Linked DNA regions of Rattus norvegicus. The protein of the gene in region 1 purifies or fractionates together with the protein of each later gene. This does not show direct contact. Links are inferred from orthologs where the notes say so. Each region holds a gene or a part of one and is shown on either strand. Other genes may lie near its edges. The genes, in order: Por and Emc4.

Evidence for each region.
Region 2: the proteins of Por (region 1) and Emc4 purify together in Homo sapiens (affinity purification with mass spectrometry; 3 studies listed by BioGRID and IntAct, with this or other methods). This does not show direct contact. The link is inferred for Rattus norvegicus from reciprocal best matches to the Homo sapiens genes POR and EMC4.

Annotation. Positions count from the first base shown.
Region 1 is NC_086030.1:26,632,805-26,637,403, reverse strand, and holds the start of Por (NADPH--cytochrome P450 reductase), read left to right. Parts: upstream 1-1,594; 5' UTR 1,595-1,655; intron 1,656-4,599. UniProt on the Homo sapiens protein: This enzyme is required for electron transfer from NADP to cytochrome P450 in microsomes. It can also provide electron transfer to heme oxygenase and cytochrome B5.
Region 2 is NC_086021.1:119,626,163-119,630,770, forward strand, and holds the start of Emc4 (ER membrane protein complex subunit 4), read right to left. Parts: upstream 2,957-4,608; 5' UTR 2,834-2,956; coding exon 2,748-2,833; intron 2,446-2,747; coding exon 2,331-2,445; coding exon of another isoform or gene 2,323-2,330; intron 1-2,322. UniProt on the Homo sapiens protein: Part of the endoplasmic reticulum membrane protein complex (EMC) that enables the energy-independent insertion into endoplasmic reticulum membranes of newly synthesized membrane proteins.

The DNA.
Region 1 (4,599 bases):
GAGCATGTTTCTAAGGAGTTCAAGGCCTGTCTTTTGTGCTACAAAAGGCTTGGTCTTGAATAGGAAAATAAAGCTATAATATATGAATGAATGATTATGTATTAATTAATAAATATAGAGAATGGTTTCTGAGAGAACTTGCTCACTGGTCCAAGAGGAATTTGTAGCAGAATTGCCTTCTTTTCTTCCTCCTCTTCTTCCTCTTACCCTTCCTCTTTCTCTTCTTCCTTTTTCTCCTCTTCCTCATTCTCTTCCTCCTCCTCTTCCTCTTCCTCCTCCTCTTCCTCCTCCTGCTCTTCTTCAGAGACAGTGTCTCACTATGTATGCAGCCTTGATTGGCCTAGAGTGCTCTATGTAGACCAGGCTGGCCCTGAACACTTAGAGATCCACCTGGTTCTGCCTCCCCAAGGCTGGGCCATGGCAGAATGTTAACAACTTATTTTAAATGCATTTATTTATTTGTGCATGTGCAAGGGGCACGCATGTGCCAGAAGACAATCAGAGGGAATCAGTTCTCTTCTTCCTTGTTTGTCCTGGGCATAGACCGAGCCAGGCTGAACGGCAAGCCCCTTTACTCAGAGAGCCATCTTGATGACTCAAGAACGTTTACTAATAATAGTAATAGCCATAAAGATAAAGCTGTTTAGAACAAAGGTTCTGCCCCCCAGACCTTATGCTCCTGTTACCCCAAACCTCCCGGGGGTTAGAGGTGGGATTATAACTCCAATACAACCGACTCTTTTCTTCTTTTGATTTTTTTTTTTTTTTGAGAGTTACTCGTAAGTAGCTAAGGCTGGCCTCAGACTCAGTACTTGAGGCTTATTCTCCTGTTTCAATCTTCCGAGCGTTGGGATGGAGAGGCATCAAGCATGACTGCTGGTAGCCAGATTTCCAAATACTATTGCCTTCGCCTTTCCCCTAGCCACTTCTCTTCCTTAAACAGGTTAGTTTTCAAATCTCAGTGGGTACCCCCGGGGACCAGCGGTGCCTCTATGGGCCTCACCATTTTCAGCTGACAAAAGACATGAGATCACAGGTGAGCTGAGGCCAGCAGCAGGTCGAAACACGAGGTGGCGCACAGCCACGACCCAGCATTGACCCAAGAGACCAAGCTAGGCTGCCAAGGGGCAAGGCAGGGTCACGCAAGCACAAACGTCGGTCAGAGCTGTGCAGGCGGGTAGCCAAAACTAGGATCCAAGCCCAGGAATGGGCGGAGCTTCTTTGAGAGGAGAGGGGGGCGTGGCCCAGAATCGGTGCTAGGCTTGGGGGCGGGGCTTCTCTGAGGAGAGAAGAGGGGCGTGGCCTAGAAACTGAGCATCTGAACTGGGCGCCGCCGGGCTGCGAGGCGTGCCTTTTCCGTGGAGCGGATGAAGGGCGTGACCTAGGAACTGAGAGCTGGGCTTAGGGGCGGGGCCCACCAGGGCTGTACCAACAGCAGGGATTTAGAAGGGGAGCAAAAGAAAGAGGGCCTGCCTCAAGAGCGCGCGCGCGGCTTTTGTGGGCGGGACCTCGGCGGTGTTAGCCACGCCTCACCCCCGCAGCCTTCTGGTCGGTGGTAGCGCCTCAGTGGTGCGGGCTTGCGTCCGGCCCCACTGCCTCAGAGACCTACAGGACCGCGGGCCGTGGGTGATCTGGTCGGTACCGGAGAGCGCAGGGTAAGTGAGGAATGGGAGACCTCAGGGGAGCTCCGCGATACCGGGTCACCTCTTGTCGCTAAGACTATCCGGTTTGTGACTCCCGGGAGGGTTTTTGGGCCGATCTCCGCGCGACTCACCCTTGCGGAAGGCGAGACTTCGCACCTCGGCCCTTCTCCCGTGGTGGCGTTTCCCACCACGACCTAACCTGTCGCGGGGCGTATAGAGGGTCGTTCTCCCCATAACTGCCTTCATCTGAGGGTCGGATCTTTGCATCTGCGGCCAAAGATTCGGTCCTCAGGACTCCTGTCAGGCAAAGCAACATTCCCTCTTCAAGCCTCAGTTTCCCCACCTGTGCGACGGGACTTTTGGGCAGCAGATTACGAAGACCACTCACTTTAGAATGAGCTCCATGAGGGCGAATAGGACCCGGAACAATCAGGTGGACTCAGTGGAGGTGTCACCCTGCGTGCATCCCTGAGGCAGTCCCCCTCCTGGGACAGTGCCTACGACACACCTTTGTCCCGTTCGCTTGAGCAGCAGTGACAAGCTGAGCTCTTGGGAGCCACTGGGTGAGAGGTTGTGGTCTGCTGAGCAGCAGGAGCAGGGCATCTTCCAGGGAACTTAACCTGGATTGGCTTTTTCCTTCTATCTCATTTTCTTTTCTCAAGACGATTCAGCATTGTGTAAGCTAGTGACCGGACCGGGACAGAGGATTTCAGGGACATTTCAGTGAAAGTGATGTGTGTTTGCTATGGACCCATCCAACTAAGTGGTTCGCTCTGAACCTGACCATGCTGCCGGAATAATGAAAACACAAAGGGAGACTCAACTGGTGGGGGTGGCCCTGAGTTCGAGTTTTACCACCTTGGCAGAACACATAAGTTCTTTGAGCCTCTGGTCTGTCAGCTTCCCGACCCTTAGGGGTGTGTGTGTGTGTGTGTGTGTGTGTGTGTGTGTGTGTGTGTGTGAGACAAGGTTTTGTATGGAGCCTAGGCTGGCCTGTACCTTTTTTTTTTGTAGCCCTTGAACAGATTGATTCTGTCTCAGCCTCCTGAGTACAGAAATTGTAAGTGTGTGCCACCTGGCCTGACTAGGGTTGTGACATTTTGAGGACAAGAGATAATCCTGGAGCTGTTCCAGTACTTAGGAGGTTGAAGCAGGAGGATTGCTTGAGTTCAAGGTCAGCAAGTGCCAAGTCAGGGCTGCGTATTGAGACTACTATATCAGTAAAACTGAGGAGAGGAAAGAGGCTGTGATCCTGGCTAGTGGTATTGAGAACTGGGCTGGTCTTTGTAAGCCAAGTGGTTATCTAACCCTGGAGATTTGTTCTTATTACACAGGGCAGTAATTCCTGAAGCTGTCTGGAACTTTGGTTCATTAACCACACATAAACTCTTCCCTCACAGATCCCCCCTGAATGTTGATCTCTGACTTGGCTGCTAGTGGAAAAAACAGCTCAGAAAACCCAAATACTAAAACCAGTGAACACAGAATGGTCCACCTTGCTTTTGTTGTTATTCCAGTGGCTCCTTTAAGAAGTTCACATTTTCTTTGGAAAGTGAGTGGCTCTTAACTTTCATACCCTCTGATACTGGAATTGGTTTCATTGAACACGTTGCTCAATCATTGTCAGAAAGTGGCCAGAAAACAGGCCCACACTGGAGAGGATGGAATATTATCTTATTGCCCTCACATCTGGCATTTGAGAAAGGAAGAGGTAGGTGTAGACTATAGAAGATTCCAGAGATGGACTTTGGTACCTGGAAGTCACAGGCTTGTGGTAGCCAGGACGCCTCAAGTGAAGACATCCTGATAGTAGGAGTTTATAAATGAACATCCCCGAGAGATGTCTGTGGTCTGATAAACCTAAAATTGTAGGCCTGTTCATTCTGGGTGGTTAACTCCTTGAAAGTCAGGATCTTCATTCGTTAGGAAAGTCTCTGTGTACTTAGCAGAGAGTCTGTTTGAGAAGAACTTCCTCCCTGCCAGGAGCCAAACATTTACTTACTAAGTCCATGAGGCATTTCAACATTGCAATATTAACTCTGGTTGTTCTGAGATGAGGGTCTCAGGTGTCCCGGGCTGACCTTGAATTCCCAATCCTCCTGCCTCTGCCTCCTAAGTGCTAGGACTAGAGCCACCTGCATACAGAATCTAGTTCTTAGGGATGTCCCCTCTTTGTGAGAGCTAACCCAGTTGTCATCCTCTTTGTCATTGGAGAGGCCTGCTGTGTAAGCACTTGCCACATCAGGCCAGGCCTGTGGGCCTCATCTCAGTGAGATGTAACTTTCCTTAGTTTATTTCTTCATTGATTTTTATACGGGTACCTATTGTCTGTTGAGTACATTCCTTCATAGGCCCACCCTCGGGACTCTGTTCTTCCTTCTCCCCTTTACATTATAAACTTTGCTAGACATGTTGAACAACCCACTCAAGAGCTCCTCTCAAAAGAAGAAAACCAAAAAGATACAATCTCACAAAGCACCACAGAGTACACATACCATCTTGTATGTCTTACTACATATTTAATGTTTGTTTCTTTGTAAAAGAAACAGATAATTTGTATCTTAGAGACAGAAAATACCTTTTCATTGGGTTTTTTTGTTTGTTTTGTTTTTAATTTGTTTTTGTGACAAGGTCTTGCTAAGTAGCCCTGGCTGGCCCAGAACTACTTATAGAACCTAGTCTGGCCTCAAATCCTCCTTCCTCAGCCATGTGTTGGGTGTACAGGGGTAGGCTCCAGCTTGCCAGATCCTCACTCTCATTTCTTAGACATGCGCTATAGCGTAGAACTTGTCTTTCCATACACTTCTGTTATTTGGCATCTGATAGACATCTGGATTTGAGGCAGCTGGTTTAGAAGCATTGGGTCAAAGGTGGCTTATCTGCTAAGACAAACCATAGATACAGGGCCAGGCTCTGATTTCTTCATCAGTAAGGTTGGAGAAAGAAACCCTGTTCC
Region 2 (4,608 bases), on another chromosome or scaffold:
AGACAAGATCTTGGTATGTCCAGGTTGAACTCCAACTTGAGATCTTTTTTATAACATCCTCCAAAGCTAATAGGATTGTAGATAGGCACCACCATACCATTCCTAGCTAGAAATCCATGATCTTAAGAATGTGTGAGAACACTCAGCGTCTATTTCATGAAAGTCAGACAAAGAACAAACTAAAGGATTTTGAAAAAAAAAAAAAATAAGCGATTACAAAGATAAGGTTGTCTTTTTGCAGGACTGTAAATTCAATTCTGGTAAACCTGACAAGTTAGACATGAAAACTCTTCCATGTCCAGAGGAAAGGAGGCAGCTTTATAGATCCTGCAGACATCACACTCGCCATATTCTAAACTCTTTGACTATTTGAAAATTTAGGAAATGGATACATTCCTAGAAACATGACTTAAATTGCGTAAGAAAAAGGAAAAAGAATCCCATGGCAGTTAGCAAGGCTGACTCTATCTATTATTAAGCCCAAATCATCACTTCCCTTGGCAAATTCTAATCATTTAAAGCTAAAAATACAAGTCTCACACAAACTCCTTTGGAAGGAAACAAAACTAAAAATTCAAATTCCAGAAATACTCAAGCCTTAAAAGACTGTCATGAGGGGCTGGGGATTTAGCTCAGTGGTAGAGCGCTTACCTAGGAAGCGCAAGGCCCTGGGTTCGGTCCCCAGCTCCGAAAAAAAGAACCAAAAAAAAAAAAAGACTGTCATGAGAAATGTGTGTTTGCATGTATATTTATATATACAAAATGAATGTTACCTATGAATCTAATGTAAACTCCTAGCAAAGGCCCTGGAGAGAGGACTCTGTGTTTAACAGTATTTGTTGCTTATTCAAGGGACCAATGCTTGGTTCCCAGCACCTACATGGTGGCTCACAATGATCCACAGCTCTAGTGCTGGGGGATCCAATACCTCCTTCTAACCTCTGAAAGCTCTAGGCATACACAATACACATATGTACAGACAAAACACTGATGTGTATAAAATAAATCTAACACACAGCAATGTATAAAATAAATCTAAAAGAAAAACTTAATCCTAACAAAGTATAAATCTATGTAAAAATAGCCATGTATATAAATTATGCATTCCATGGAATAAAAATTGTTTATTCAGCAATATTAAGGCTGGGAGGGAAGTATAAAAAGGAAGGAAAATATCAAGGACCCCTCTAAACCCTTGGGACACACTTCTGCTGTAAAATTCCTGCTAATCTAGTCTACAAGAGTACTAAGATGGTAACTAGCATAAGCCATGTGATATGTCCATAACATACAAATGAAACAGCAGCACAGGAAAAGTCTTGACTATAATATTAGAGAGACCCCAAAGAAGAACTAAGCCAGTTAGGAAGGAATCCAGAGGAAAAGCATTCTACGAATAGAGAACACACACAAAAGGCAGGCAAGGGGAATTTATCTGGTATCCTTACATAGCAACAAGGAAATCATTATGACTAGAGTAAACAAATGTAAAAATGGTAGACAGGCCACAGATGCTACAGGGAACAGACTCCCTGGTACATGCAGAGTTATGTCTAATACTAAAAAGACTTGGTGTTAATGCTGAATGAGCATGGAATTTTAGACTGATTTTGAGTAGGGATGACCTGGCATCTTTTAAAGGGATCATTTTTGATGGCTGTGCTTGGAGACTACAGGGAGGACAAGGTAGAACATAACAAGACACATTAGAACTCTATACAGGAAGGGATACTGAGAAATTGAGAAGGGGGACACTTGAATATAGGTCTCTTTCAAAGCGAGCAGTTTCATCACAGGTATACACTGCTAAAGCTCATCAAAGTGTACCTCTTTAGACCGCCTGAAAAACATCTGGTAATGCTGGAAACATCTTTAGTTCACACAATAATGGAATAACATAATGGTACCTAATGTGTAGAGATCAGGAGTACTAAAACATCTTACAGTAAGTACCCAACATAATTCTCCCCCGCAAAAGAAGTACTTGCCCCCAAATAGAAAACAGTACTGAGGTTGAGAAACCATGCTTTATTTTAAATAGAGGGATGGAGGGACAGTTGATCGATTATTAGTCTACTGCTGGTGATGTAACAGTTGAAGGCAGTAAGAAATGATAGCAGGATTGGGATGTTTTGAAGGTAAAAGTAACACAATATCCCGACACACTGAAATTATGTCAGGGAACATATATGTAAGATACTGTAATATAAATCTTAAGCATTGTGGCTCTCAAACACTCAGGTAGTGACCAGCTGCTTTACCTCTACTCCAGAGAGTAAGGTGAGACAGGACTGGTCCAAATGCTACAGTTACATCTAATACCTCTGTACCTTCTCCACCAGGATCCGGTCGGTCTCTTGCACGCTGGTATCAGGCACTTGCTTGTCCAAGTAACCGACTGGATAGAGTGAGTCTCCCTGTCCACTGCCCCGGTCACTTCGGCCCCTAAAGAACCAAACCAAATCAAGAGACTAAAACTACGACTTCCCAAGCACGGGTTTTCAGCCCTATCGACCACAGAAAGAACTTCAGATGTAAATTAGATCCTCTCGTGCATTCTTCAGTTTTCAGCTCATTGGTAAAAACTAAAAGATCCTTGGGGAAAAATAACTTCCACAGCACAAGAGTTCCTCGGGTAACATGTGTGTGCCACCCACTCGTGTCGGAGACTTATACCTGAGGCCCTAGTTCCCTGGATCTCGGGTCGTTCTAGGGTAAGGGTAAGACATCGAGCTTAAGAAACTCACCTGCTCCCTCCTCCCGGTCCACTCAGCTCAATGGCCCATTTGAACCGCCGGCCTCGGTTGGCCACCAGGCCCCCCTGGGTCGTCATGACAGCAGCCGCTGGTTAAAAGTGCGGTCACCCTCCTGCCGCTGAGTTCGGCTCCTAAGAACTAGCGGAGATCGCAAGCGGTCCGACTTCCTTGCTTTCGCCGCAGTGCACTTCCGGCGCATAATGTTAACGTCACGCGTCCCTCGGAAACTTTCTGTCAGAAGGAAGAGTATCTGGATTTAGAAAATCCTCAAAACGACCCAGAAGACTAGCTTTCTGGAACCTCTCTGCGAATACACCTCTCATTTGTGCTCTTGTCTCTTAGGTATGCATCACGGAGCTGGAAAAGTCCGAAATGACAAGAATGGAAGCCAAGAAGAGCACGAAATTGAAATCCTGTTTTAATTCTGGGGTCATCCGGAATTGGGTGACCTTGAGCGAGTTATTCAGCCTCTGAGTACTATGTGTCGACGTGTTGCACAGCTATATATTTGTTTTGTTGTTGTTCTTGTTTAAATGTTTTTTTTTTCATTTTGTTCGCAAACTAACCCAACGAGGTAGGCGCCAGGAATGGAAAGACAAGTGGGTTCAGGATTTAACTGGTCTGTTAAGGACTTTCACTACTTACCGTGCCACCTCAACTAGGTTAAATTCATTGCTCCACCTGCCTCATGCAAAAAGATCGATAGTCGCCTAATTTTGTTGTGAGATTAAATAGGACCTGGAACCTAGACCTAATTCTTTTTATCATTCGTCATTCATTATCATTCCTGGAAAATGAAACTTCTATCCAATGACTTGTCTATATTGTAATTTAGCCTATTATTGGGAAATTGTTTCCACCGTCTCACCCCTTTTGTAATTCAGTGTTAGTATGAAAATCATTTAAGGCACCTATTGAATTAGGAGTGGAATTGCTACACCAAAGAGTATGTACATTTTTAAAGAATTATTATTTTAAATGCCTACTTTTTAAATTATCAGTTCAAAAACAGTAGTTTTCTTTATTTCTTTTATTTACCTTTATTAATATTATTCCCAAGTTGTTTATTATGGCTGGAGTTTAGAGGAAAGGGCTATGGTGAAAGAGTGGTTGAGGATCTGGCTGAAAATGCCTCCTTGGGCAACTGAGAGTTTTGACTCTTAGAGATAACGGTGATCTAAACACATTGAAGATGGCCACCTCCACATCGTTTTCCAGTTTGCAGTTCTGTGTGCAGAGAAGAGAAAGTTATGAGTTACATCCAGAGTAGCGGAGTGGTGGAGAGCATGAGATTTTACCATGCCATTCAGAACAGTGCAACTTAAAACATTAATATAGAATTTTCCATTTAAAGTTTGTGAAACACAGTTGAAACTAGGATCACTACATGCAAATAACCTAAGCCATGGAAAGCAAAACTGTTGGTTTAAAAAGTTGTAATTAAATATGCCACAGTAGAAATAGGTTACAATTATACATATGTTAAACAAAAAATAAATGTTAATATTGTATTAAGTAATAGTTTTTAGGTAATGTCTAATTCTTAGGGTACTCATGTGCTAATAAATTTTGAACGAACATGTTTTAAAAACATTAGAATCACATAATTCTACTTAAAGTATTTTCTCCTTATATGATAGCTTAAACTATAAATCACAGTTACTTTGTCCTCAGGGAGTAAGCCAGGAAATTTATTCCTTTACCCCAAGAATCTTCACTGTGTAACTTGCTAAATTGTGTCTTAGGAAAGATTAGGGAGGGTTCCAAGATCAAACTTGGGAAATAACCGTGTATTATATTATGCTCACACTAAGACGTTTTCAGTACTGTTAATATAATGCACTAAAGCATT